Anolis sagrei: one gene and its partners. The protein of the gene in region 1 binds, or shares a complex with, the protein of each later gene. Links are inferred from orthologs where the notes say so. Each region holds a gene or a part of one and is shown in the gene's direction. Other genes may lie near its edges.

Region 1 (7,819 bases):
TCAGCGGATGCCAAACCCCAATGGCAACCATTACGGAGCCGTATGTGGAATTCACTGCTCCCTTGATGGGGTTCTCTATGTGACGAGTGAAAATGCCCCCAGGGTCCACACCCTCAACCGCCTGGGCCACACATTTCGGTCCCTGCCCTGTATAGAATGGAAAAAGAAGGGCACCTTTTTGCCTGAGGATGTGACCCTCACCAGGGCAGGGTTGGTGGCCGTGACAGACATGGTGAACGGAACCATCCGCATCTTCAACAATCACTCTAAGTTCTCCAAGGGCGAATGGCTAAGCATTGGAAAGTTTTCTGCCCCCAGGGGGATTGGAGTTGATGGGTCCGGAAAGATACTGGTGGCCGACTACACAGAAGGCCAAGTGCACTGTTTCGCCTTAGACCGCGCTTTCAAGATGCAGGGTGTCCGCTCCATCTCCAACCTTCAAGGGCCACGTTACGTGTGCCCGGCCCCCGAAGGAGGATTTGCGGTGAGCGAAGAGTGCGGGGACGTCAAGGTGTTCAGTAACACTAACAAACCGCTCTCTTCCATCAGCAGCAAGTATCACCACCACTTTGGCAACCCCGCTGGGATCTGTTCCGATAGTGAAGGCAACATTCTTGTGGCGGATGAACAACACCAGAAAGTGTACTTGTTTCCCAGTAGCGGATCCCCAATCTGCCTGGTATCAAAAGGTCTACAGAGACCAGCAGGAATTGCTTGTTCCACACAGGGTTTGCTTTTTGTTGCTGACAGTGGGGATAATTCCATCAAAGTCTTCAAATACCGCGTACGGCCCTATTACAGTGCTGACGTTACACCCAGTGACAGTCCGAATGTAACTCCTAGAAGGAGGGCAAAGTAGGATTTTTCCATGCTCCCACATTACATTTATGACTCTGCCTCACGAGCTGAATAGGTACATCTACACTGCATAATCAATGCAGTTTGACACTTTAATTATGGAATCACAGGAGTTGTGGTTTATAAGGTCTCACAAGATCTTTAGCCTTCTCTGCCAAAGAATGTTGGTGCCTCACCAAACTACAGACCCCAGAATCTTATAGCATTGAGACCTGCCACTTCATCAAATTCATTAAATGCTACAGAGCCACCCACTTAAGAAAAGGCAACCTACTGGGCTCATCACATGATGTAGGCTCTAGCAAGTGTAGGGTAGAGAGATCTTAGTGTTTAAAAGGGGTTGCAAAGGGTTATCTTTTCAGACGCTTTCTAAGCTGTTTGGCAAATGACTTTTTTGCAAATTATCCAGCTAGAGGTGGGCAAAATGGCCAATTCTGTCATGTGATTTAAAATGATACAGTTGAGCAATTTGTGGGATGAGCCGAAATGCTCTTTTGAGAAAAAACTCTACGATTACCTTTTGCTCACGGAGGAGGAAAGATTGGCAGTTTGCTGTGTTCCTTTCTGTCTCTTGCACTTTCTGGTGGCTTGCCTGCTTGCTTGCTTGCCTTCCTTCCTTCCATGTGTTGTGTGTGCCATGTGTTACCTCCTCCTCCCCTTCCTTCCTTCCTTCCTTCCTTCCTTCCTTCTTTTCTTCTATGTATTGTGTGTGCCATGTGTTACCTCCTCTTCCTCTCCTTCTTGCCCTGCTTTTTTCCTTCTTCCAATATGAGGAAAGTGTGTGTGTGAGAGTGAGTGAGAGAGAGAGTGAAAGAAACTGAAAGAAACTGAGAGAGAGAAAGAGAGAGAGAAGGATCATTGAGAAACTAGAGCAAAATGTGCCAAAGCAGGATGCTGTCCCTCCTGCAAAGACAAAAATTTTGCAATTTAATAAACTTTTCCCATGTGTTCATGATATAACCAATTAGGAAATGACATTGATAACCCATGAACCAAAAATATAGCCCAGGAGAGGAGGTATTTCTTTTCACAAAGAAAATGGGAGCGGGACAGTGGACAGGAACAATACCCTGCAATGTGATGGCAAATCCACTGAGAACTCCTGATTAAAATGGAGAGTTTGCTAGTGTGTGATGGAGGTAGGGAAATCATCCATTTAATTTCAAAACAGAGTATGCCTGAGCCGTATGGTAAACCTACTCTTCCAAACACTTGACATGTTCAGTGGAATGAAGTCTATGGTCATTAAAGTGGTGTTAAACTGCATTAATTGTATAGTGTAGATGCAGCTGGTATGTGCACTTCTCCAATTATGCATCAAACTGCTCTGGAGATGAAACTGATCTTACAACAGCACGTTAATTTTTTTGTGCCATGATTCCTTTTAAGTAAACAGAAAAGACGCAACAGGATACAGTAACGGCATGGAAAGAAACATTCAAAATGACACCAAAAAAAAGGGAGAGTCCTCAGGCCAGAAACAGCACTGGATAAACCATTTAGCCTGCTTGAGTCCAAATATATGGAGCAAAGAAGGCCGGCTCCTGAACGTTTCCTTATTTTACAACAGTTTGTGTTATGTTTTGCTCTTTGTTGTAGAAAACGATGATTTGTGTGTTTCTCCATCTCATCAGGCATGTTTGTCTTAACTGCGTATCCCTTATCCAAAAAGCTTGGGACCAAACATTTTTTGGATCTTGGATTATTTTTCTCTCTCCAGATTTTGGAATACTTGTATCTGCATACAACAGTCAGTCTTTAAGCATGATTTTTAAATGTGTGTGCTTTGTTAATCTCTATTTTGTGAATTTTGATATCTATTTTATAGAAATACTTTTTGATATGTAGCTTTTATAGGAATACGTTTTAATATGTGCATCTGTAGTGTTTTTGCAATGTTTATGTGTTTTAATTATTCTGTAACCCACCTCGAGCCTTGAGAAGGGGCGGGTAAAAAATAAAATAATAATTATTATTATCATTATTAAATGCACGCATAACAAGATACCTTGGAGATGGGCTTCATATATGTTTCATATTCACGTTATACACATAGCCTGAGATGATTTTATACACAATATTTTTTACTAACTTTGTGCAGTAAACAAAAGGTTGGTCCATTAGAAAGCAAGGTTGCCACCATCTCAGCTGTCTATCTGAACAATTTTGGATTTCCAAAGAAGGGATGCACAAGCTGTAATTCTAAATCATAAGTCTTCGGGGGGGGGGGGGTTAGAATGTAGAAGTTTATATATGTAATATGGTTCATTTCTTTGGCATGCCCCTCGCCTCTGGAACTCCCTCCTGAAGGAGATCAGAACAGTGCCACTCAGGCATATGGTGATGCGAATGTTAAAAGATCTGGCACTATGAAATAGGGAATGGAATTTAGACATGGCTTTTAACTTTGTCTTATTAACATCCTGTAATTTACTATTATTGTTTTCATGTGATCTATTTTATTGTCGAATGCGACGTTTCGTTTATTTTAAATTGTTTTCGCCTATTGTTGTATTTTACGGCATTGAACGTTTGTCTTTTATGTTGTGAACTGCCCTGAGTCCCCATGGGGAGATAGGGCGGGAAAGAAATAAAGTTTTACTTACTTACTTACTATAGAATGCAGTTTCATAACTTTGTTTAACTGCATTGTACGGAGCTATATGGTTACAAATAAGATTAGAAGGAAGGAAGGCATGGTTGCCATCTACAGCACTATCAATGTCCAGCAAAACTGTGCGAAAGCAAAGGTGAAGATTGCTTCGTACCGCCAGAGGCTTATCACACAAAAGCAGGCATTATATTGGAAGGGAAATGTGTGTCCCACCTATGTCTGCTGTAAAAAGATCTGAATTTTGCATATATCCCTCCCTAGTTTTGCTGGAAGAATACTCTTGTAACTGTCAAAAACAGCAGACCATTTCTCTGCTATTTGAAGGATTGCTCTCTTACATTTGCTGTTCTGGAATATTTAGGCTTCGTCAGGTTAGTATGCAAGAAAAGAAGAAAGAATCTCTTGATACTCTACTATCTATCTATTTAGTTCTAGTTGAAATTGCTTGAATTTTGCTATTAAATGACAGAGAGAGATTGTGGTTTTTAACATTGCACATATTTTAATGCTTTTTAACTGTGAATTCTTTCACAGTTAAATCCTGCTTTAATGTTTGCATATATTTGTGTAATTAAAATCATATGCTAATGATTTAATTTTAAGTCTCCTTTGGGAAGAGATAAAGCAGAGTATAAATAAATATCATACAATAATAATAATATTTTAATGTCTATGCTGATGCTTTTATGTCAAGCAGCTTTGAGTCTCCTTTGGGAGAGATAAAGCGGGGTATAAATATAATAATAATAATAATACATAATAATAATAATACATAATATTACTAAATTGAATGCTAATGCTTTTATGTCAAGCCATTTTGAGTCTCTTTTGGGAGAGATAAAGTGGGGTATAAATAAATATAATAATAATAATATTACATAATATTATTAAATTGAATGCTAATGCTTTTATGTCAAGCCATTTTGAGTCTCCTTTGGGAGAGATAAAGCGGGGTATAAATAAATATAATAATAATAATAATAATAATAATAAATTGAATGCTAATGCTTTTATGTCAAGCCGCTTTGAGTCTCCTTCGGGATATTTATCTATTTATTTATCATGTCAGAAACAAATTGAGAATACAGCTATAATGTATAGGGGAAAAAACCCCAAAACTCCTCAAACATCGTTAAAAACTTGGCATTATGGTGGATGCAACCCAAGGCGCTGCTTTCCTAATAGCAGGGCTCTCCTACCTGACTTCCCTCCTTCCCTCCAACCACTGGGCGCCTTTCTGTGGGCCAGGTTGAGGAGGAACTCCATTGGCCGGAACCTTTCCTTTGGGAGCGAGGGAGCCGCCCGGATGATAATCCGAGCCGGACCGCGTCTCCTAGCAACCGCCCCCCTCGCCGCCGGAAGTGGCTCCAATGTCAAGCGGCGCGCGGCCTTTGCTGCCTCCTGGTGAAAGTAAGTCATGCTTTGAACCGGCCCCTTCCACACTGCCGTATGACCCGGAATATCCAGGCAGATCATCCACATGATCTGCTTTAAGGTACCTTAGACCAGGCATGGGCCAACTTGGGTCCTCCCTCCAGGTGTTGGGGACTACAACTCCCACAATTCCTAACAGCCGGTAGACTCAGGGCCCTTCCACACTGCTGTGTAACCCGGAATATCAAGGCAGAAAACCACAATATCTGCTTTGAACTGGGTTATCTGAGGCCCCTTCCACACAGCGGTATAAAATCCCACAGTGGGCCCCTCCACACAGCCCTATATCCCAGAATATCAAGACAGAAAACCCCACAATATCTGCTTTGAACTGCGCTATTTGAGTCCACACTCAACTAATGTGGGATTTTCTGCCTTGATATTCTGGAATATAGAGCTGTGTGGAAGGGCCCAATATCTGCTTTGAACTGGGTTATATGGCAGTGTGGACTCAGAGAACATAGTTCAAAGCAGATATTATGGAATTATCTATCTTGATATTCTAGTTTATATGGTGGTGTGGAAGGGCCCTGAGTCCATTTCAGTGTGGACTTTATGCAGCTGTGTGGAAGTGACTACAGATAATAATCCAGTTCAAAACTGATCACGTGGATTATTTGCTCTGCTAATCTGGATCATATAGCAGTGTAGAAGGGCTGTATGTCAGTTGAGGTCCCGGCATTTTCAACCCAAGACACTTCCACACTGCCATAGAACCCAGAATATCCAGGCAGATCATCCACAATAACTGCTTTGGACTGGATTGTCCGGGTCCACACTGCCAAATATCCCAGTTCAAAGCAGATAATGTGGGATTTTATACAGCTGTGTGGAAGGGGCCTCAGGGCCCTTCCAGTTAGGCCCTATATCCCAGGATCCGATCCCAGGTTTTCTGTTTATCCCAGATTATCTGGCAGTGCAGACTCAGGGCCCTTCCACACTACTATATAACCCAGAATATCAAGGCAGATCATCCACATTCTCTGCTTTATACTGGGTTATCTGAGTGCCCTTCCACACAACCATATAACTCAATATTAAGGCAGCAAATCCCACAATGTCTGCTTTGTACTAGGTTATCTGAGTCCACACTACCATATATTCCAGTTCAAAGCAGAAAATGGGGGATTTTATTCAGATGTGTGGAAGGGCCTTCAGCCCCCTTCTACACTGCCATATAATCCAGTTCAAAGCAGATCATCTAGGTTTTATATGACAGTGTAGAAGGGTCCTAAGAAACTACCTGACAGCTTTACAAATAGAGTATAAAACAGGCCTGGGCCAACTTCAGCTCTCCAAAGGCCATCCAGTCTGACCATCATTCAGGTCAGACTGCCCTGTCTTCCTCCTCATCCACGGAGAGGGGAATGCAGTGCAATTTAGATGTCAGAGTATGCGGCTGGCTCTTTCCATTCCGCAGCCACATGACTCACGCATCGCATTCTGCAAGGGATCAGGATCGCGGAGAAACATGTCCTGGCTGTGACGCACGCACACGCTCCATTTATTCATTCTAAAGGTCTCTCCCACAGAGGCTAGGTCATTGTGACACATCCGTGATTAGCAATGGTCCCTAAGGATGAGCATTGAGCCAAGGATTCTTGCCCTCCACGTTACTGCTTTTTAACTTTTATGGATTCAATTCCAGGCAGTTCCCGAGCTACAAGTACCCGATTTACAAACGGCTCCTAGTTAAGAACAGGGCTGGACTGGATGGCCTCTGGGGGTCCCTTCCAAATATTTATCTCAGATATATAGATATAGGCTGTTCCCAAGTTACAAACACCCGATTACAAATGGCTCCTGCATAAGAATGGGGCAAAACCACAGGAAATGAAAAAAATCTTCCCCTTCAAAAGGAAAGGAAATCCTCTCCTGGAAGAGTTGTTATCAGGGGGAAAGGGGGTCTGGTCTCTAATTTTCTCCGGTCCTTTTTTCCACAACCAGCCAAATTCTTCACAATCCAGTTTTCCCAGGGATGGAAAATGAGGTGAAATCTTCTGAGCAGTGGCACAGACAGCAAAGGAAACACCATAGGAGTGTTAACCCTTCCCTATGCTATCTATATATTTATCTGGAATTATACTTTAAAAATGTCCTTGTTCAAACTTACATACAAATTCAACGTAAGAACAAACCTACAGAACCTGTGTTGTCTGTAACTTGTGGACTGCCTGTATATGGAGGTGCCCACTTGAACAAAAAAATGCAGAAACCTGCTTTTACTACTTTTCCATGAGACTGTGTTTCAAAAACAACAAAGATTTGTGCACATTAAAGACTGGTTATTTTTGTAAGGACATATGCTTGTATGCACTGATTATGTGGGCTGTAGACATGAACATTTATGTTGGTGTGCTTTGTAGCTGAGGGAATGTTGGAACTTGGTTCTTTCCAGGCAGACATGCCATTTGGATTTGTCTTGGGTTCTGCTTTGAGAAACAAGGCACCGCAATTTTTCCAGTAACTAAATGATTGCTTTGCATGTGTTTCCTATAACTAGATGTTCAGAGGGTTTTTAAAAACTTTTCTGCTATAAAGCAAGCTAGAAAAGCCTTTCCTCTGTATCTGGTCAGTATCCCTTCCCTCAGGAACAAATTTTAGGCATAGTTAATTGGCTAAAAATTGTCCAGTCGCATCCCATCAGTGCAAATTGAAAAATAGTTTAATCCAGTGTTGAAAAGGATGGTCATTTTGGGGCCAGATAGGTGGCCCTGGGGAGAACATTTCGTAATTGTGTGAGAAGGGCACAATGAAAAATCCTCCTTTAGAAAGCTTTGTGGCGTGGCTTGTCCTACTTTTGACAGGAAAAAACCAGAGGCAATGACATGTAATGAGTAAATGTGACTAGGTTTCCACTTCTTTTCTTGTTTCTTCATGGTAATGTTAAAAGAGATTTACTGATGTCTCCTC
Region 2 (8,024 bases), on another chromosome or scaffold:
TGATAAGCATGATATTGGATAAATTTGATAAAAGACCACTTGTCAATGAAAACAAGTCATGAAAAGTTTGATTTAATGACATGCTTTTCCTTAACTTTACAATATTACAAAGAGATTGTGTTTAGTCAAAAGTTCTATAACTTTTCTAATTATGAAAACAGACCTCTGTGGCTATCTGTTAAAAGAGCCAGCATTTGAATGAGCGAGTATAGTATAGAATTGTTTTATGTTATTCATTTGTATTGCTTAATTCATTGTATTGGGTGGCGTTAAATATTTGCCTTTTTATGTTGTAAGCTGTCCTGAGTCCCCACAGGGGAATGGGGTGGGGTGTAAATAAAGTTTAATGTGTTGTTGTTATCTTAAATCCTGAAAACAAAATTGGATAAGACACCCAAGATTGTTTGCAGGTAGATCACAGATCCTGTTGAGGTACAGAATGGAACAATACCTATGAACAGAAGCTATATATGGAGCATGAAGCCTTGCAGATTGCACTTCTGCTCTGAATCCAACTCAAATTTCAGCTCAAGCTTCTGTTTCAGTTCCTGTGATGGAAAAAGTTTGGTCCTAGTTAATACACTTTATTTATTTGCTGGATTTGTATACCACCTTTCTCAGCCCTGTCATTATCATTGCAACAAAATTCTAGAAATAATTTGCTAAATAAGGACTTACAAACTCCAGTGTAATAAAGAGAGAGATCAATATTGCCTAACAAAGAAATACAGACACTTGGGTGGTTAGCACTTGACTATGCATAAAATAACATATGGATGGGCAAGCTAATATTTTACTGTTATGTGAAGTCCCTCCTTTTTTCTAGCTAGGCTTTAGGAAAAGAATTTCTTTTATTTTTGAAATTATTAAAATTAATTAAAAACATTTAATATTAAAAATAGTTTGAACAAACTAATTGTGCAATGAAGTAATACATTAGGTGATATTTGCATAGTGATTCACACTGGAAGTAAACCTTATTTCACATATGCAGCATCTGTATTGAATCTGAACTAATAGTAACAAGCTAAGAAAGAGATCCCAGAGTTGTGGTAAATTAAACCTTCATTAAAATATCAATTCATTGTGAAGGAAATGCAAAGAAGAGAAGTTATCTGCTAGAAAAGATGTGTCTGATCATTACAAATTCTGGTCTTCCTGTCTTTTTTCAGTTCTTTTATGGGACTGAACACTTTATGTCTTCTTGACATTATGGAGACAAAATAGTTTTCTTTGTTTTACTAATGTTGATAGTTTGCTACATTTGTGTTATGTTATAACAAAATATGTTATAAAAAGATAAATCAGTGTGTAACTGTATTATTTGATTTTAATAGAATAAGTACAGTATTGTAATTTATATTTTAAAAACTATAATTGTAGCACATTATGCATACAATATAGTTTATGTTCTTAAAGTAACAAAATAATTTTAGTCATAAATAATAGTGCATATGTATGTGTCTTCAAGCTGGCTATCAACTGATAATGACTCAATTAATTTCATTGGGCTTTCTTTAGGCAGGGAATACACAGAGGTGGTTTGCCAGTTTCTTTTTCTGAGGCACAGCCTATGTCACCTGGTATTCATTGGCGATCTCCTATACAATACGAAAAATGGATGCCCTGCTGAGCTTCAAAGATTATACAGTATCTTGTGTCTTTAGGATATTTGATAGCATCATTTTCCCCCAATTTGTCTGGACATTTCTCTTTAAAATGGAGAAAAAAAATGTTCCTAATTTCCTTAAAATGTCCATACATTGTACATCTGTACTACAAGATCCCAGTATCCCCAGCATTGTGCTTCTTGCTCCCAAATTCACCAGCTGGAATGGCAAAGTCTGAAGGATGTTCCTCAATGATACCTTGCTACGTTTGTTGGAAGTATTTAGTTGGCTACAGACAGAAACAGAATGCTGTAGGTTCATAGATCTCTTGTTTAATTCAACAATATGTTCTTGCTGGACTTCATAGACCTCTGGTTTAATCTAATGGGCTGTAATACACCAGACTCTTTTTTCCCTTTTAGAGTTGAATTTCAAATTAATATTGTGAACATGGTTATCTGTCTATAAGTACAAAGCTTTTGTGACCACGTATAATATTTTCTATATTTTATTTCCTCATTCATTCATTCATTCATTCATTTCTTTAATCATTCAAACCCCACCTTATCCTGTAAATCATTCTTATCATGGGAGCACAACCCAAATAAATTCAGGAATGAGGAATGAAACAATATGACCTACCTAACCGAAAAAAGCTTAACCAAATTAAGAGAAAGGAGGGGGAAATCAAAAGGTAAGGGAAACACATCAGATTTCATGATCGGTGCATGGACCAGTATGTATGCAATTCCTCTTTTGCAAATGAAGCTGTATTCGTGTACATCTAGTTTCAGAATATGCATGATGGGGGAAACCTAGCCATTTCCAGCCAAGGCAGAACCAGTTTTACATCTGGAAGTACAAGCAGTAACACATACACTTGCCTAAGTAGTAACATCATTGGGAATCACAAACAAAACATATACCTGTTCAACTGGAAAAAAATTAATTCTACCAGAGTTGCCAATCAAAATAAAGGCTCTCATACTTTGGCTTTGTAGAAGAGAGAATTTAACCAAGTGCTAAAAATTCCCTATTCTGTACAACTATTAAAGAGACACCTTGCGACTCTGCTAGCACCTTATTTGCTGTATTAAAGTCTCAGAGTCAAATTTTAATTTCTTAGTGTTTTCCATATCAAACTTCACCATAAATACTTAAAATTATTATGGATATCATTTGTAAAAATTGCAACACTTTTGTTTTTGTTAAATATAGATAGGTTCTTTACTATACAATTTTCTGAAGAGACAAGAAAGCAACACTATCATACCATTTTCTGAAATATCCTTGATATTTACAGTCACATTTGGCAAGAGAATACTCCTGCAACTAATTCAATCAAGAATAGATTGAATCAGTGTTCTTCAGTGTTTTAAATCCAACATTCCAATTAACATTTGCAAGTATCAATGTGTCTTTTCCTGGTGATAGCTTACCTTCGCTTTGCCATATTTGGTTAATAAAATGAGTTGGAATGTTATTTGTGGGTTCAAGTTGTTTTGTTTTATTTTTGTCTATCATGAAGTACTCTAAAAAGATGTGGTTGCTATTACCTCAGTCCCCAAATCCAGCCAATCAGAAGACAAGGACTGTAAATAACTGCTCAGCCACATACCTTGGATTACAGGGCCATTTATATACGCTTAAACATAGCTATAGGGGACAAGTGTGAATACAATTTTTAAGTTGTAAATAGAATGATCAGTCACAATCAATGGTTATTTCTTTTCATTTGCTCACCTTTCCAGATTTATTTGCACAAAACCTTATCAACTGTTTTTTTTAATGTTATATCTAACATTCCACTGTTGATGTCTGAAAATCCTGCTGTATAGACAACATTATTATTGAATAATCAAGTGAACAAATTATGACTGATTTATCTATTTTAGATAAAATATTGTATACCAGAATGATTTTTTAATAATATTCTCTTCTCCCCTTTACTGACCTTTTGACATTCTCCTTCTCCGGTACATAGACCACCATTTCTTTCTTCTACTCTTCAGATCCTGCTACTATACCTCTCACCCTTCTTTCCCTCCATCTGTCACTTTCCTTTCCAATCCCACCTCTCTTTATTTTAACGCACCCCTCCTTTTTTGTACGGTGACACTACAACCACTCACCCTTCCATCACTTCTACTTGCTTAGCCTTATTCCTTTGTGGTATGCCTCTTGCTTGTTTCTCATGCACCGCTACATGCTCTCTTAACTCTCTACTCCCTCATCTTGCCTCATGTCCAAAGGTGTGACCTCTGCTTTTTTTTGTGCAGCACCGCTAACATCTCTTACTCTTGTTTTTCTCACCTAAGCGGACTTGTTTCCTGCAGAACAAATTGACAGAACATTTCTGTTTTGCTGCGTATCTTGGCTTCTACAAGGACTAGAGACTTAACCATGCTGTAAATTAGTTTTGTTTCATTGTCTTTAACTGTTATCTTAAGAGTTATGGTGATCCTATGAGAGAGATTTCCAAGGTCTCCAGTCATCAGTTGCTCTGCTCAGATTTTACAAATTTAGGGCTGTGGTTTTCTAGATTGAATCAATCCACTTGTATCCACTTTTCCACTTTACCAATGCCATGTTGTCTCATGATATGACCAAATTACTACAGCCTGTTTAGTTATCCTTGCTCCTAGTGAAGCAAATATTCGTCTGTACAACTTTTCTCCAGAACCTCAGTTCAAATTAGTTGTTTTCCTGTCTGCTTTCTTTGTTGTCTAGCTTTCACAATCATATTACTTACTTAGGCGATCCCTCGTTGGACGAGTAAGATGGTCTTCCATCATGGGTTTCCCTGTGGGTCCGCATGTGGCTGTGGAGCCCTATTCTTGCTCTGCATCTTCTTCCGCAGTGAGGGCATTGGTTTCCAGGTGGAAGGCGGTCCCGGTCGGGGTTGGCTTGACGCGCCTTCCTCCTGGCACGTTTCTCTCTTTCACCCTCCACTCGTGCCTCCTCGAATTCTGCAGCACTGCTGGTCACAGCTGACCTCCAGCTGGAGCGCTCAAGGGCCAGGGCCTCCCAGTTCTCAGTGTCTATGCCAGAGTTTTTAAGGTTGGCTTTGAGCCCATCTTTAAATCTCTTTTCCTGTCCACCAACATTCCGTTTTCCGTTCTTGAGTTCGGAGTAGAGCAACTGCTTTGGGAGACGGTGGTCAGGCATCCGGACAACGTGGCCTGTCCAGCGGAGTTGATGTTGGAGGACCATTGCTTCAATGCTGGTGGTCTTTGCTTCCTCCAGCACGCTGACGTTTGTCCGCTTGTCTTCCCAGGAGATTTGCAGGATTTTCCGGAGGCAGCGCTGATGGAATCGTTCCAGGAGCTGCATGTGACGTCTGTAGACAGTCCACGTCTCACAGGCATAGAGCAGGGTTGGGAGGACAATAGCTTTATAGACAAGCACCTTAGTATCCCTACGGATGTCCCGGTCCTCAAACACTCTCTGCTTCATACGGGAAAATGCTGCACTTGCAGAGCTCAGGCGGTGTTGTATTTCGGCGTCGATGTTGACTTTGGTGGAGAGGTGGCTGCCAAGGTAGCGGAAATGGTCGACATTTTCTAATGTTACACCATTAAGCTGTATCTCTGGCATTGGAGAGGAGGCGGCTGGTGACTGCTGGAACAGCACTTTGGTTTTCTCGATGTTCAGTGACAGGCCAAGCTTTGTGTATGCTTCTGCAAAGGTGTTGAGAGTGGCTTGTAGATCTTCTTCTGTATGCGCACAGACGACATTGTCATCAGCATACTGGAGTTCTATAACAGATGTTGTTGTGACCTTGGTTTTGGCTTTCAGTCTGCTGAGGTTAAATAGCTTGCCGTCTGTCCGATAGATGATTTCCACTCCGGTGGGAAGCTTCCCATCAACAAGGTGTAGTATCATGGCGATGAAGATGGAGAATAAAGTTGGGGCAATAACACATCCCTGTTTGACACCCGATTCCACCTTAAATGGGTCACTTTGGGAGCCATTGCTATCTAAGACTGTTGCCATCATGTCATCGTGGAGGAGCCGCAGGATGTTCACAAATTTGCTTGGGCACCCGATTTTTTGGAGGATGGTCCAGAGAGCGCTGCGATTCACTGTGTCGAATGCCTTTGCAAGGTCGATGAATGCCATGTACAGAGGTTGGTTTTGTTCCCTGCATTTTTCTTGGAGCTGTCGTGCAGTGAAGATCATGTCCACAGTTCCTCTGGAGGGGCGGAAGCCGTTCTGGGATTCTGGGAGGGTGTCTTCTGAGAGGGGCAGAAGGCGGTTTGCAAGGATTCTTGCGAGGATTTTTCCAGCAGAGGTTAGAAGGGAGATACCTCGATAGTTTCCGCAGTCTGTTCTTTCCCCTTTTTTGAAGAGGGTGATGATGGTGGCATCCTTGAAGTCTGCTGGGATTTTCTCGGTCACCCACACTTTTTCTATGAGCTGGTGGAGTTGGTGTGTCAGCGCAGGTCCTCCCTCTTTAAAGATTTCAGCAGGGATCCCATCCGGTCCGCTGGCTTTGTTGTTTTTTTGTTGGCTGATGGCATTGCTGACTTCTTCCAAACTAGGCAGTGCTGCAAGCTCATCCCTGGTTTGTTGTTGCGGGATTTGTGAGAGGACCTCTTCGGCCACACTGGAGCTGCGGTTTAGGAGGCTTTGGTAGTGTTCTTTCCAACGTAGTGCAATTGACTTTTGGTCCTTCAGGAGTTTGGTTCCGTCTGATGAGCGTAGAGGCTGTATGCCATGGTTTCTTGGCCCATAGATGACCTTTGTGGCTTTGAAAAATCCTTGAGCATTATGGGTATCTGCCAGGTGTTGGATTTCTTCAGCCTTCTTTGTCCACCAGATGTTCTTGAGTTCTCTTGTCCTTCTTTGGACCTCAGCTTTTGCACTGGCGTAGATCTTTTTCTTAGCAGCACAGTTGATGTCTCTCTGCCATGTTTGGAAGGCTTTCCTTTTCTTGTCGATTAGCTGTTGGATCTCGATGTCATTTTCGTCAAACCAGTCTTGATGTTTCTTGGCTTGGTATCCAATAGTTTCTTCGCAGGCTTGGATGATGGAGGTCTTCAGTTTGTTCCAATGTTCCTCAACATTTTCGGGGTGTACTGTGGGTAGATGGTCCTTGAGTGCAGTTTGGAGATGGGCTCGCCTGGAGGGCTCTTGAAGGGCTTGGGTGTTCATTTTGCGCCTTGTCTTTCTTCCTTGGAGTCTGCGCTTGGGGGCGATCTTGATAGCCATCGTGGATCGGATTAGCCTGTGGTCGGTCCAGCAGTCGTCAGCACCTGTCATGCCATTCGAGTTGCTGTTTCCAACCCCGTCTTTTCCTATGGTGCCTGGCCACAGGTCGAAGTCTCGCCCGACTCTTGCATTGAAGTCCCCCAGGAGAATGATTTTGTCCTCCTTAGGTATCCCCGATAGGACAGTGTCCAGCTGATAGTAGAATTTCTCCTTGATGTCTTCATCAGCGTCTAGTGTTGGTGCATAGGCACTTATGATGGTTGCCCGTTGGTTTTTGGCAAGATCAATTCGGAGGGTGGAGAGTCGTTCGTTGATGCCAGTGGGTGCTTCGGACAGATGTTTCATCAGATCATTTCTTATAGCGAAGCCAACTCCGTGCATTCTTTGGTCTTCTTCAGGCAGTCCCTTCCAGAAGAAGGTATAGCCTCCTTTTTCTTCCTTCAGCTGTCCCTCTCCTGCTCTCCGGGTCTCCTGAAGGGCTGCTATGTCGATGTTGAAGCGTCCCAGCTCCCTTGCGATGATGGCAGTTCTGCGTTCGGGGCGTTCACTGTCACTGTTGTCCATCAGTGTCCGTACGTTCCACGTACCGAAGTTCATTTTTCTTTTTTGGCCGCAGGATGGTGACCCCACTGGACGCGGCAGTCCAGTCAGGGATAAGTGAGGCAGACTATGTTTAGGGCACCTTTTCTAGCCCCCTCCCCGTGTGGGGTGAGCAGAGTGGGTCCTCAATAGGGCTGCTCAGTCGCGGATACAGCTGCCGAACTACTCAACTGCCTCGGACCTTGAGGTAGAACGACTGAGTCCGTACCCACCGCCCATGTGCCAGTCTGTGACTAGGGGCTTCCAGATTTCACAGTCCTGCCCCCGTCGCCACTCGCTGATCGCCATGGGACTTTGGTTGGTTTGTTTTTATTTTCTTTGGAAGACGCCTGTGCGTGGGTTTTTTAATGTGTGGAGGTCAGTGCACAACTGAACAACACACAGTCTTCACAGATGAGGTTCCACTGGTGATGTAGTTTAACACAATGACCATGGCTTCTCAGTCTGTTGCAGCCTTCTTCCGCCTTCGCAGCCGTTGTAACATGTGCCATGTTATCCTCCGCCTGCTCCGCCGTTGAGGTCTAATTTCATATACAGAAATTAGAAATACTATGGTCTGGATTATTCTAACTTTTGTATTAAATTATATGTCTTAAAACT
Region 3 (7,340 bases), on another chromosome or scaffold:
GGTTAAAAGGAAGTCTAGAGGTCGCATTTAGTTCGGCTGCTCAGTTTTTGATTATTGTTATTTTTCCTTCGAATGGTTTGTGAGGTTCCTCTGGTGTTTCTGTTTTTCTAATGCAGACGCGGGCCAATTCTGGCCCTCCCGGTGTTTGGGACTACAACTCCCATAATTCCTAGCAGCCGGTTACAGCCTCAGGCCTCTTCTTTTTCCCCCTCAGCCGCTTAAGCGGCTGAGGGGGAAAAAGAAGAGGCCTGAGGCTGTGACCGGCTGCTGGGAATTATGGGAGTTGTAGTCCAAAACACCAGGAGGCCGGAATAGGCCCGTTCCTGTTTTAACGGAATGCTGTGCCGTCTTTGACTCGACCGATGATCCGTGTTTGTACTCTGTTCTCCGGTTCCTTCCTTATTGTAGAGAAGCCACACATATAAAGAGGAAATTCACTATATAATGTCAAATGTCATTACCGTTTTTTGCGGGGGAGAAAAACAAATAAAGGTGGTTTTTCTTTTTCTTTTTGGTACATCACACCTGGCCTGGTTTGTTTCCTTACCGTTTCGTTTCATGTGTACGCAATGGGACCAATGCCTGCCTATTTTCTCCCTTTTCCATCTCTCTTACTTTCCTTCTTCCCTCTGTTTCTCTCTTTGTCTTCCTTTCCTTCCTTCCTTCCTTCCTTTCTTCCTTCCTTCTCTTGCTTTCCCTCATGCACCTTTCCTCCTTTTCTTTCCTTCATTTTCTTTCCTCCCCCTCTTTTTTTAGCCCTTCTTTCCTTCCATCCCCATATGCTTTCCTTTCGTTCTTTTTTCTTCCTCGCTTTTTCCTTTTTCTATCTTTCTTTTTCCTTCTTTCCCCATTTCACTCTTTTTTCTTCCTCCTCATGTTTTCCTTTTTCCACCTTTCTTTCCTTCCTTCATTTCACACTTCCTTTTTTTTCTTTCTTCCTTCCTCTCTTTCTTTCCTTGCCTTTCATTCCTTCATTACTTTCCCTCCCTCCCATCCTTACTCCGTTTCTCCCTTTGTCTTCCTTTCCTTCCTTCCTTCCTTCCCTTGCTTTCCCTCATGCACCTTTCCTCCTATTCTTCCCTTCTTTTTCTTTCCTCCCTCTCTTTTTTTAGCCCTTCTTTCCTTCCGTCTTCATATGCTTTCCTTTCCTTCTTTTTTCTTCCTCCTCACTTTTTCCTTTTTCCATCTTTCTCTCTCCTTCTTTACCCCATTTCACTCTTTCTTTTTCTTTCTTCCTCCCTCTCCTCCTTTCCTTGCCTTCCCTCCCTTTCTTCTTTCCTTTCCCTCCCTTCTTTCCTTCCTTCCGCCTCTTGCTTCCGTCATGCACCTTTCCTTCTTTTCTTTCCTTGTTCTTTCTCTCCTCCCTCTCTTCCTTTATCCCTTCTTTCCTCTCTTTTTCTTTCTTTCCATCTTCATATGCTTTCCTTTCCTTCTTTTTTCTTCCTCCTCACTTTTTCCATTTTTCTCTTTCCTTCTTTCCTCCATTTCACTCTTTCTTTTTTTCTTTCTTCCTCCCTCTCTTGCTTTTCTTGCCTTCCCTTCCTTCCTTCTTTCCTTTCCCTCCCTAACATCTGCAATTCAGAGAGGACACATACAAAGTAGAAGAATAAGACATTTCACGCTTCCTTCAGGCCACTTCACCCAGTGACAGCCAACCCAGCAATATCGCAGAGGGCCACCTCACATGTGACAGCCAACCCACAAACATCACTGAGGGCAACCTCACCCAGCATCGCTACTGAGGGCCAGTTCACCCAGCGACAGCTAACTAGCTGTCGTCATGGGAGGCCACTTCATCCAGCGACAGCCAATCCAGTGACACTGTGGAGGGCCACCCAACCCAGTGACATCGTGAAGGGCCACTTCACCCAGTGACAGCCAACCCAGTAACGTCATGGGGGACCACTTCATCCAGTGACAGCCAATCCAGTGACACGGTGGAGGGCCACTTCACCCAGTGACACTGTGGAGGGCCACCCAACCCAGTGACATCGTGAAGGGCCACTTCACCCAGTGACAGCTGTTGTGGAACAGACAGAGAAACTCTTGGACTTTACTAGGGAAAGTTAGGGATGAAAAACAAGGTTAAAATAAAATAAATAAACAAGATGGGAAGTTCTCTAGGAATTGCAAACGAGGAGTTGTTAACGGGCCTGCCATCAAATAACCTTCTGCCTTTTTTTTCTTGCATTTTCTGGGTGCTAAATGCAAAAGGAAAAAAGAACCATGTGCTCCCAAGTTATTTCACCCATGACATTTCAATTCAATTCAAGAGAGATATTGACAAGCTGGAATGTGTCCAGAGGAGGGCGACTCAAATGATCAAGGGTCTGGAGAACAAGCCCTATGAGGAGCAGCTTAAGGAGCTGGGCATGTTTAGCCTGAAGAAGAGAAGGCTGAGAGGAGATATGATGAAGGCCATGTATAAATAGGTGAGAGGAAGCCACAGGGAGGAGGGAGCAAATCAAGGGTCTGGAGAACAAGTCCTATGAGGAGCGGCTTAAGGAGCTGGGCATGTTTAGCCTGAAGAAGAGAAGGCTGAGGGGATATGATGAGGGCCATGTATAAATAGGTGAGAGGAAGCCACAGGGAGGAGGGAGCAAATCAAGGGTCTGGAGAACAAGCCCTATGAGGAGCGGCTTAAGGAGCTGGGCATGTTTAGCCTGAAGAAGAGAAGGCTGAGAGGAGATATGATGAGGGCCATGTATAAATAGGTGAGAGGAAGCCACAGGGAGGAGGGAGCAAATCAAGGGTCTGGAGAACAAGTCCTATGAGGAGCGGCTTAAGGAGCTGGGCATGTTTAGCCTGAAGAAGAGAAGGCTGAGGGGATATGATGAGGGCCATGTATAAATAGGTGAGAGGAAGCCACAGGGAGGAGGGAGCAAATCAAGGGTCTGGAGAACAAGCCCTATGAGGAGCGGCTTAAGGAGCTGGGCATGTTTAGCCTGAAGAAGAGAAGGATGAGAGGAGATATGATGAGGGCCATGTATAAATAGGTGAGAGGAAGCCACAGGGAGGAGGGAGCAAATCAAGGGTCTGGAGAACAAGCCCTATGAGGAGCGGCTTAAGGAGCTGGGCATGTTTAGCCTGAAGAAGAGAAGGATGAGAGGAGATATGATGAGGGCCATGTATAAATAGGTGAGAGGAAGCCACAGGGAGGAGGGAGCAAATCAAGGGTCTGGAGAACAAGCCCTATGAGGAGCGGCTTAAGGAGCTGGGCATGTTTAGCCTGAAGAAGAGAAGGATGAGAGGAGATATGATGAGGGCCATGTATAAATAGGTGAGAGGAAGCCACAGGGAGGAGGGAGCAAATCAAGGGTCTGGAGAACAAGCCCTATGAGGAGCGGCTTAAGGAGCTGGGCATGTTTAGCCTGAAGAAGAGAAGGATGAGAGGAGATATGATGAGGGCCATGTATAATAAATATGTGAGAGGAAGCCACAGGGAGGAGGAGGGAGCAAGCTTCCTTTCTGCTTCCTTGGAGACTAGGACGCAATGGAACAATGGCTTCAAACTACAAGAGAGGAGATTCCATCTGAACATGAGGAAGAACTTCCTGACTGTGAGAGCCGTTCAGCAGTGGAACTCTCTGCCCCGGAGGGAGTGTGGTGGAGGCTCCTTCTTTGGAAGCTTTGAAACAGAGGCTGGATGGCCATCTGTCAGGGGTGATTTGAATGCAATTCCTGCTTCTTGGCAGAATGGGGTTGGACTGGAGGATGGCCCAGGAGGTCTCTTCCAACTCAAGGATTCGATGAGGCTGGATGGCCATCTGTCAGGGGTGCTTTGAATGCGATATTCCTGCTTCTTGGCAGAATGGGGGTGGACTGGATGATTGCCCAGGAGGGCTCTTCCAACTCTAGGATTCTATGACATGAGTCAGTCCAACCTTGCATGGCTTCCAGCCACAGTCTGCAACATGAAAGGTACATAATGGAGCAAACCGAGTCTCCTTCCAGGATTTGGAAGGACAGTTCCCTCTCAAGCCCATCCATACACGGTTTCCAAATGAGCCTCAGCTTTGCAGGCCTGCGAATGACTCTTCTCTTTCATGAGTCTAGGGTCACAAGGCGCGCATCTCCTCTTTTAAGGAGTCTATGACCCGAGCCTGGACTCTGTGCGCGTGCGCGGAAGCCTCCGAAGGAGACGGAAGTCTGCTGTGCGCATGCGCGGGAGGCCTGCCACGGAGAGGCTAGAAACCCATTCTTAGCCGCTGCTGTGCGCATGCGCGGCGGTTAAAGCACCCACCTCTATGGCTCTGCGACCGCTCTTTCTCCTTCCGCCTCTATGGCACCGGAAGGAAGTCTTCCCAAGCAGGAAATAGAACTTCACAATGGTGAGTCTGGGAATAAAAGCCAATGGGAGAGGTTGCTTTGGTTAGGATTATACATTTAGATTTCCAAAAGATAACCAATATGTATATATTATTATATGTGTGTATAGAATAAAATAATATATATATATGCATATAATTTTAGTGCATATATAATCTATATTCTTTAAATACGTATATATTATTTTATATAATATATATATATGTACATAATTTTAGTCTATACATATTATTGATATATATGTCTGTATAGAATAAAAGATATACATATAAGGGATATCTATATATAGATAGATAGATAGATATACATTACAATTATATGCATATATATTATTATATGTGTGTATAGAATAAAATATATATGCATATAATTTTAGTGTATATATAATCTAAATTCTTTATATACGTATATATTATTTTATTCTACAGACATATATCAATGATATATATATGTATATAATTTTAGTCTGTATATATTATTGATATATATATATATGTATGTATGGAATAAAATATATATGTATATAAAGAATATATATATACATTAAAATTATACACATATATATTATATGTGTATAGAATAAAATAATATATATATGCATGTCATTTTAGGGTATATATAATCTATATTCTTTATATACGTATATGTTATTTTATTCTACAGACACATATATCAATAATATATATATATATATATGTATGTATATAATTTTAGTCTATATATATTATTGATATATATGTATGTATAGAATAAAATATATACGTAGATATAGATATAGATATACATTAAATGATATGCATATATATTATATGTGTGTATAGAATAAAATAATATATATGCATGTAATGTCAGGGTATATATAATCTATATTCTTTATATACATATATGTTATTTTATTCTACAGACACATATATCAATAATATATATATATGTATATAATTTTAGTCGAGATATATTATTGATATATATATATGTATGTATAGAATAATATATATATAAAGAATATAGATTATATATACACTAAAATGATATGCATATATATTATATATGTGTTTGTAGAATATAATGTATATGTATGTATAGAATATAGATTATATAGATATAGACTAAAATGATATGCATATATATTATGATGTATGTATGTGTGTAGAATAAAGTAATAAATATGTATATATAGAATTTTGATTATATATAGAGAGACTAATATTAAATACATAAATGTTATGATATATATGTGTTCATAGAATAAAATAATAGATTATATATAGAGACTAAAATTATACACACACACAATAACATGTTTCAAAACATTAATTCAAAAATATCTTTTTTTTAATTACATTCCCTGTGATTCAAAATGAAGAAATACAGGCACTAAAATAAAATTGAAACAGAAATAGGATGTTTTGGAAGAGAGAACATATTCCATGCATATTAAGAGGCTTCCCCATTCGCTGCCATTTTATATATATATATATATATATATATATATATATATAAGTATGTGTGTAATAAAGACAGTCACTTTATTTCTGTACCCAGCCTCCATCTCCCCGAAGGGACTTGGGGCGTCTTTCATATGATGCAAAGTGCCTAAAACCACGCATAAAATAGACACAGAGGACAAGACACGAGAGCAAAACTATAGCATATATAAAACAACATTTTAAAACTCAGAACACAACGCCCGATGATCTGTGGTGACAACTGCTGTAAGACATGGCCACACTAAACAAGATGATTTGTATTGACAGCTTGACTAAAATGAGCACATTATAAAATGTATTTATTTACTTAAAACATTGATATTCCACCCTTCTCACCCCGAAGCGGACTTAGGGTGGAGCACAACATATACACGGCAAACACAGATTCACATACAAAACATAAATATAAAAAAAAAATGATCAAAATATTAAAATACACCATTTAAAACTGTCCTAGTCATCAGCGTCAAATCTAATTGGCCCGGTCATCTTTCCTATTGCCACTTTATTGCCCTGTCCCGAAAGCTTGGTCCCACAGCCAAGTTTTGACCATCCTTCTAAAGGACAGGAGGGAGGGGGCTGACCTGGTCTCACCAGGAAGGGAGTTCCATAGCCGGGGAGCCATCACCAAGAAGGCCTTGTCTCTCGTCCCCACCAATCGCGCCTGTGACAATGGCGGGATGGAAAGCAGGGCCTCCCCGGAGGATCTTAATCTCCGCAATGGTTCACAGGGCTCCTTCCTTCCTTCTCATCTCCTTTCTTTCCCTTCATTCTTCCCTTCATATACATGTCTCCTTGTAGCAGGCAGGACACTTCACCTAGCAACAGCCGGTCCTTCACTGAGGCACAGCAAATCCGCTTTGGCCCTTTTCTTCCTTTATAGCTGGACCATGAAGGGACAAAGTGCCAAAATTGGTCCAAATCCACCAAACCACGGAGAAGCCTTGGTGGTAGAAACCGGCATACATACATACATTGTATACACACACATGGATAGATAGATATACAGATAGACAGACAGATAGATAGATAGATAGATAGATAGATAGACACACATGGATGGATGGATGGATAGATAGATAGATAGATAGATAGACAGATAGACAGATAGACAGACAGATAGACAAGGGGTCAGCATTGATTCTCCTTTTTCCCTTTCAGGCCACTGCAACTGACCAGTTGGTTGGCTATGGCTTGGTTGCCTTCAGCCTTCTCCTCTTCGCTTATTATACCGTCTGGATCATCGTACTGGTATGGACTGGCTTGCTTTTTTTATTTTGATCCCATATTAAAGGAATAAATAAAGGCAGAATACATTGATCCCTCCCATGTGAATATTCAGAACCCCTCCAATTCTCATAATAATAATAATAATAATAATAATAATAGTAATATTAATATTAATATAATATATAATTATATATATTAATATATTTTATATATATTATGTCATATATATTCAGGACGTCTTCAATTCTCATATTATATATAGGAGCCCCCGGTGGCACAGTGGGTTAAACCCCT
Region 4 (5,225 bases), on another chromosome or scaffold:
GTTCTTGCAGACGGCCAATTCTCTCACACCAGAAGCGAATTGCAGTTCTAACGTTTTAATTGAATATGATATATGACGTTTTTAATTATTGTTTTGTGATTTTATTGTTGGAAACCGGCCCGAGTCCCTCGACAGAGGGGAGAAGTCTGGTATACAAAATTGCTAAATAAATAAATAAATAAGTTGCTCCTGACACAACAAAAATATATTATTATAAAATCAAACTCTAAAATCAAAAGAATAAATAAGCAACACACTCAAAAACGGGGGAATTCCAGACAAGAAACAATCAAGGCCAGCTAATCACCCCCCAGCAAAGGACTCCCTCCCCAGGCAGGAAGCAGCCAGACCTTGAAGCTGCAAGGCCATTCAATGCTAATCAAGCTAGCCAATTGCAACATTGACACTTGCCTCAAGCAGACCAGAGTTCTTTCTCCCACCCTGGATATTATTATTATTATTATTATAAATTCAAACTCTAAAATCAAAACAATAAATAAGGAACAACCCTCAAAAACGGGGGAATTCCAGACAAGAAACAATCAGGGCCAACTAATCACCTCTCAGCAAAGGATTTCCCCCCAGGGAGGAAGCTGCCAGACCTTGCAGCTGCAAGGCCATTCAATGCTAATCAAGCTGGCCAATTGCAACATTGATACTTCCCTCTATCAGACTAGAGTTCTTTCTCCCACCCTGGATATTATTATTATTATAAAATCAAACTCTAAAATAAATAAATAAATAAATAAATAAGGAACAACCCTCAAAAACGGGGGAATTCCAGACAATAAACAATCAGGGCCAACTAATCACCTCCCAGCAAAGGATTCCCCCCAAGGCAGGAAGCAGCCAGACCTTGAAGCTGCAAGGCCATTCAATGCTAATCAAGCTGGCCAATTGCAACATTGACCCTTCCCTCAAGCAGACCAGAGTTTTTTCTCCCACCCTGGATATTATTATTATTATTATAAAAACAAACTCTAAAATCAAAACAATAAATAAGGAATAACCCTCAAAAACGAGGGAATTCCAGACAAGAAACAACCAGGGCCAGCTAACCACCTCCCAGCAAAAGATTTTCCCCCAGGCAGGAAGCTACCAGACCTTGCAGCTGCAAGGCCATTCAATGCTAATCAAGCTGGCCAATTGCAACATTGATACTTCCCTCCATCAGACTAGAGTTCTTTCTCCCACCCTGGATATTATTATTATTATTATTATTATTATTATTATTATTATAAAATCAGACTCTAAAATCAAAACAATAAATAAGGAACAACCCTCAAAAACGGGGGAATTCCAGACAAGAAACAATCAGGGCCAGCTAATCCCCTCCCAGCAAAGGATTTCCCCCCAGACAGGAATCAGCCAGACCTTGAAGCTACATATTATTATTACTATTATAAAATCAAACTCTAAAATCAAAAGAATAAATAAGGAACCCTCAAAAACGTGGGAATTGCAGACAAGAAACAATCAGGGCCAGCTAATCACCTCCCAGCAAAGGATTCCCTCCCAGGCAGGAAGCAGCCAGACCTTGCAGCTGCAAGGCCATTCAATGCTAATCAAGCTGGCCAATTGCCTCAAGCAGGCCAGAGTTCTTTCTCCCACCCTGGACATTATTCCACGGATATATGAACCTCACTGGCCTAGTTTCCCAACAGATTTCACAACCTCAGAGATGGAACATGGCCAGCCAGCCCAACTAAACCCAATCTTTAGTTCTTTGTAGGAACCTAGAACATTGGCTCTCGCTTTCCAAGGGACTGCTTTCGACAGCACACTCATTCGGAGGAAGCAGTCTGGTGAAGCTGACTTCCTTTCCCAGCTGACCTTGGAGCTGGCGCTGGCAGTGAAGGCGTGCAACCGTGGAATCATGCCGATGCTGCCTCTGGGTTTCCTGCGCCTCTCCGCTTGCGTTCCGCTCTGGAGGAAAGGCTCTCGGGCTCTCTTCTCCACGGCGGCCGGGAACGGAGGCGAAGGCCCCGAGGGAGAGAAGCAGAAGCCGCCCTTCGAGGCCAGCCTCCTCCAGGTCCTCGTCTGCCCCTTGTCCAAGAAGCCGCTCAGGTGAGAAGCCAATGGGCTCCCATTAGAGGCTGTATCGGTGTAGTTTCAATGGTTCAATGCTATGGAATCCTGCTTGTTTGTAGTTTGGTTGGGCGCCTGCCCTCTTTAGCACAGAAGGCTGCAGACCTTGTGGAACTACTCCTCCCAGAATCCCATTGACAGTTAGAGGTATCAAACTGCATTAAAGTCTACAGTGCAGGTGGATCTTGCAAGTTTTTTTTTGTATCTTTTTAAAATGGCATTTCATTGGGTTGCTGTGAAGCTTCTGGGCTGTATGGCCATGTTCCAGAAGCATTCTCTCCTGACATTTCGCCTACATCTATAGCGGTGAGCTTTGTTGGAAACTAGGCAAGTGGGGTTTATATATCTGTGGAATAATGTCCAAGGGCGGAAAAAGAACTCTTCTCTGCTTGAGGAAAGTGTGAATGTTGCAATTTGGCCACCTTGATTAGCACTGATTGGCCTTGCAGCTTCAAGGTCTGGCTGCTTCCTGCCTGGGAGCGGGGGAATCCTTTGTGGGAAACTAGGTAAGTGGGGTTTATCTGTGGAATAATGTCCAAGGGTGGAAAAAGAACTCTGGTCTGCTTGAGGAAAGTGTGAATGTTGCAATTGGTCACCTTGATTAGCATTGAATGGCCTTGCAGCTTCAAGGTCAGGATGCTTCCTGCCTGGGGGGGATTCTTTGTTGGGAGGTGATTAGTTGACCCTGATGGTTTCTGTCTGGAATTCCCCAATTTTTTTAGTGTTGTTTATTATTGTTCTTTATTTACTGTTTGGATTTTGGAGTTTGATTTTATTTATTTATTTATTTATTTATGACATTTATATGCCGTCCTCACCCTGAAAGGGACTCAGAGCAGCTTACAAGATACACGCACACACACGCACACATACATACAATATATATTATTAGCATAGTACAATATCAGTATTGTATATTACTATATTGTACTTATACCATTAAGTACAATACGGTATGGTATAAGTGTACTTATACCATACCTTTTGTTTACTGGTGTCCTGTTGGGCTTGGCCTCATGTAAGCCGCTCTGAGTCCCTTGGGGAGATGGTGGTGGGGTATAAATAAAGCTTTTATTATTATTATTATTATTATTATTATTATTATTAAATTGTATTATTAGTAATATTACATGTAATATAAAATATATAATTATAATATCATATTAGTAGTATTATGTTATATTTCATTAACCCACTGCGCCACCGGGGGCTCAATGTTATGCAAATACTGGGAGTTGTAGTTTAATGAGACACCTGCATTCTTGGACAGAGAAAGTGAAAGATCTAGTGAAACTACAAACCCTGCCGGCTGTTAGGAATTGTGGCAGTTGAAGTCCAAAGCACCTGGAGGTCTAAAGTTTGCCCGTGCCTGGTCTAACTGTACCTAGTGGGGTGTTATAAGGATGCCTGACACATTATTATTATTATTATTATTATTATTATTATTATTATTATTATTGCCACTAGCATATTACATCTTACTGAAAGACTGGTTTGCATACTTCTTTGTCCCAGTACCATATTCTTAAAGAAATGGCAATAGCTGGCTTGACATATCAATATTTGTTATGTTTCCTAGGTATGAGGAGTCCACCAATGAATTAATCAACGAAGAGCTGGGCATTGCCTACCCCATCACTGACGGCATTCCTAATATGATCCCCCAGGCTGCCAGGATGATTGGCAAAGACAAGCAGGAAGGGGAACCTGAGCGGACCTAGACGTTTTTTCTTCTTATAAGAAATCCACAGGTGAAGAAAAATGTTTCTGTCTCTGCCTACGATGACTGTACTCATCCCGGTGTTGTCTTTAGCTGGACTGTTTTATTCGGCCAGCGTTGATGAAAACTTCCCTCAGGGTTGCACAAGTACAACCAGCCTGTGTTTCTACAGCCTGCTGCTTCCAGTTACCATCCCAGTTTATGTGTTCTTCCACCTCTGGACCTGGATGGGCCTTAAACTCTTTCGCCACAACTAGGTTAGGCTGAAATGGGTGGACATGGACTAAAATATGTGCTTTCTTTTTATCTGTCTGCAATAGGATCAGAAGTCTTCCCAAACAAGTAGTGGACTAAACATATTGAAATAATCATCCACACAAGCGAATAGAAAACTTGCTTTTACCCTTCCAACTCTAGCAAACCTAGTTCCAAACCAAATCCATAGGAATGATGATGGATCATACAGATAAGGTGGATGAAACACACTGTAATTTCACGAGCTATCTGCTTTGCCCACAAGAAAGTGACTACATTTCCATCTTTGGACCTGTATAGTCAACCCTGTGCAGAAATATACCATGGTAGAATTTTAAAGTGTTGCCAGATGCTTTCAAGCCGTTTTCACAGTTCCTTGGAAGAATGGCATTTAGTGCAGAATAATACTTGATGACACCCTAAATGGATTTTCTGTCATGGCGCTATTGTGTTTCCAGGATGTCTTTTAACATTGTTGGACATGGTGATAATAGTACTCAGGATTTTGCTTTCATTAAATTGCACTGTTTTCTACCCATAGCTTTTATGCTTGAATGAGTGATATTAACAGATTGTGATCAAAACAGAATTATAAGGAAACCGAAAGCAATTATTTCCCACTAATAAAGCAACTGAAAAACCAGGTAGATATGTTATTATTTTTTTGCTCAATGCTTTATTTGGATTTTCACCTTAAAGGGGATAATCCCCTTACCTACAATTTTTGTGCCATACTAATCTGGCTCCAGAGGGGTTTTCCAGGCATTCAGAACTGGATTTATAGGGGTGAGGGTTGCAGCGAGAATGGGTTTTGCCCTTGTAGTTCCACTAAATAATATCCAGCATTAGAGTCAGCCCAGAGGTTGTTTTTAAAAATGGCAATACACATTTGTTCTGCTGATGAGTGCCTCCCTCCAGTTTATGGCAGTTCTTAAGGGATTTTTTGACAGATTTTGATCACAGACCCTCTTTGTATTAAACTTCCTATGAGGCTAAGAAAATGACAAGGTCACCCTGTGAGTTTCCATGGCGGCCCAGGGAATCAAACTCTTTTCTTCAGTGCTAGTCCAATGATCAAAGTACTAGACCATGTTACTAGTAAGGTAAAGGTTTCCCCTGACATTAAGTCTAATTGTGTCTGACTCTAGGGAGAGGTGCTCAT

The links.
Region 2: PIGQ (region 1) and PIGP share a complex: the UniProt entries of both Homo sapiens proteins name them as parts of the glycosylphosphatidylinositol-N-acetylglucosaminyltransferase (GPI-GnT) complex. The link is inferred for Anolis sagrei from reciprocal best matches to the Homo sapiens genes PIGQ and PIGP.
Region 3: PIGQ (region 1) and DPM2 share a complex: the UniProt entries of both Homo sapiens proteins name them as parts of the glycosylphosphatidylinositol-N-acetylglucosaminyltransferase (GPI-GnT) complex. The link is inferred for Anolis sagrei from reciprocal best matches to the Homo sapiens genes PIGQ and DPM2.
Region 4: PIGQ (region 1) and PIGY share a complex: the UniProt entries of both Homo sapiens proteins name them as parts of the glycosylphosphatidylinositol-N-acetylglucosaminyltransferase (GPI-GnT) complex. The link is inferred for Anolis sagrei from reciprocal best matches to the Homo sapiens genes PIGQ and PIGY.

What each region holds. Positions count from the first base shown.
Region 1 is NC_090034.1:27,568,312-27,576,130, forward strand, and holds the start of PIGQ (phosphatidylinositol N-acetylglucosaminyltransferase subunit Q), read left to right. Parts: upstream 1-4,806; 5' UTR 4,807-4,882; intron 4,883-4,888; exon of another isoform or gene 4,889-4,967; intron 4,968-7,819. Other genes in the region: NHLRC4 (NHL-repeat-containing protein 4), read left to right, coding at 410-859. UniProt on the Homo sapiens protein: Part of the glycosylphosphatidylinositol-N-acetylglucosaminyltransferase (GPI-GnT) complex that catalyzes the transfer of N-acetylglucosamine from UDP-N-acetylglucosamine to phosphatidylinositol and participates in the first step of GPI biosynthesis.
Region 2 is NC_090023.1:71,911,268-71,919,291, reverse strand, and holds the start of PIGP (phosphatidylinositol N-acetylglucosaminyltransferase subunit P), read left to right. Parts: upstream 1-5,012; 5' UTR 5,013-5,150; intron 5,151-8,024. UniProt on the Homo sapiens protein: Part of the glycosylphosphatidylinositol-N-acetylglucosaminyltransferase (GPI-GnT) complex that catalyzes the transfer of N-acetylglucosamine from UDP-N-acetylglucosamine to phosphatidylinositol and participates in the first step of GPI biosynthesis.
Region 3 is NC_090031.1:2,448,831-2,456,170, reverse strand, and holds the start of DPM2 (dolichol phosphate-mannose biosynthesis regulatory protein), read left to right. Parts: upstream 1-4,335; 5' UTR 4,336-4,353; coding exon 4,354-4,371; intron 4,372-6,977; coding exon 6,978-7,067; intron 7,068-7,340. UniProt on the Homo sapiens protein: Regulates the biosynthesis of dolichol phosphate-mannose. Regulatory subunit of the dolichol-phosphate mannose (DPM) synthase complex; essential for the ER localization and stable expression of DPM1.
Region 4 is NC_090025.1:20,335,921-20,341,145, reverse strand, and holds PIGY (phosphatidylinositol N-acetylglucosaminyltransferase subunit Y), read left to right. Parts: upstream 1-3,849; coding exon 3,850-4,065; 3' UTR 4,066-4,706; downstream 4,707-5,225. Other genes in the region: PYURF (protein preY, mitochondrial), read left to right, coding at 1,877-2,067, 3,668-3,809. UniProt on the Homo sapiens protein: Part of the glycosylphosphatidylinositol-N-acetylglucosaminyltransferase (GPI-GnT) complex that catalyzes the transfer of N-acetylglucosamine from UDP-N-acetylglucosamine to phosphatidylinositol and participates in the first step of GPI biosynthesis.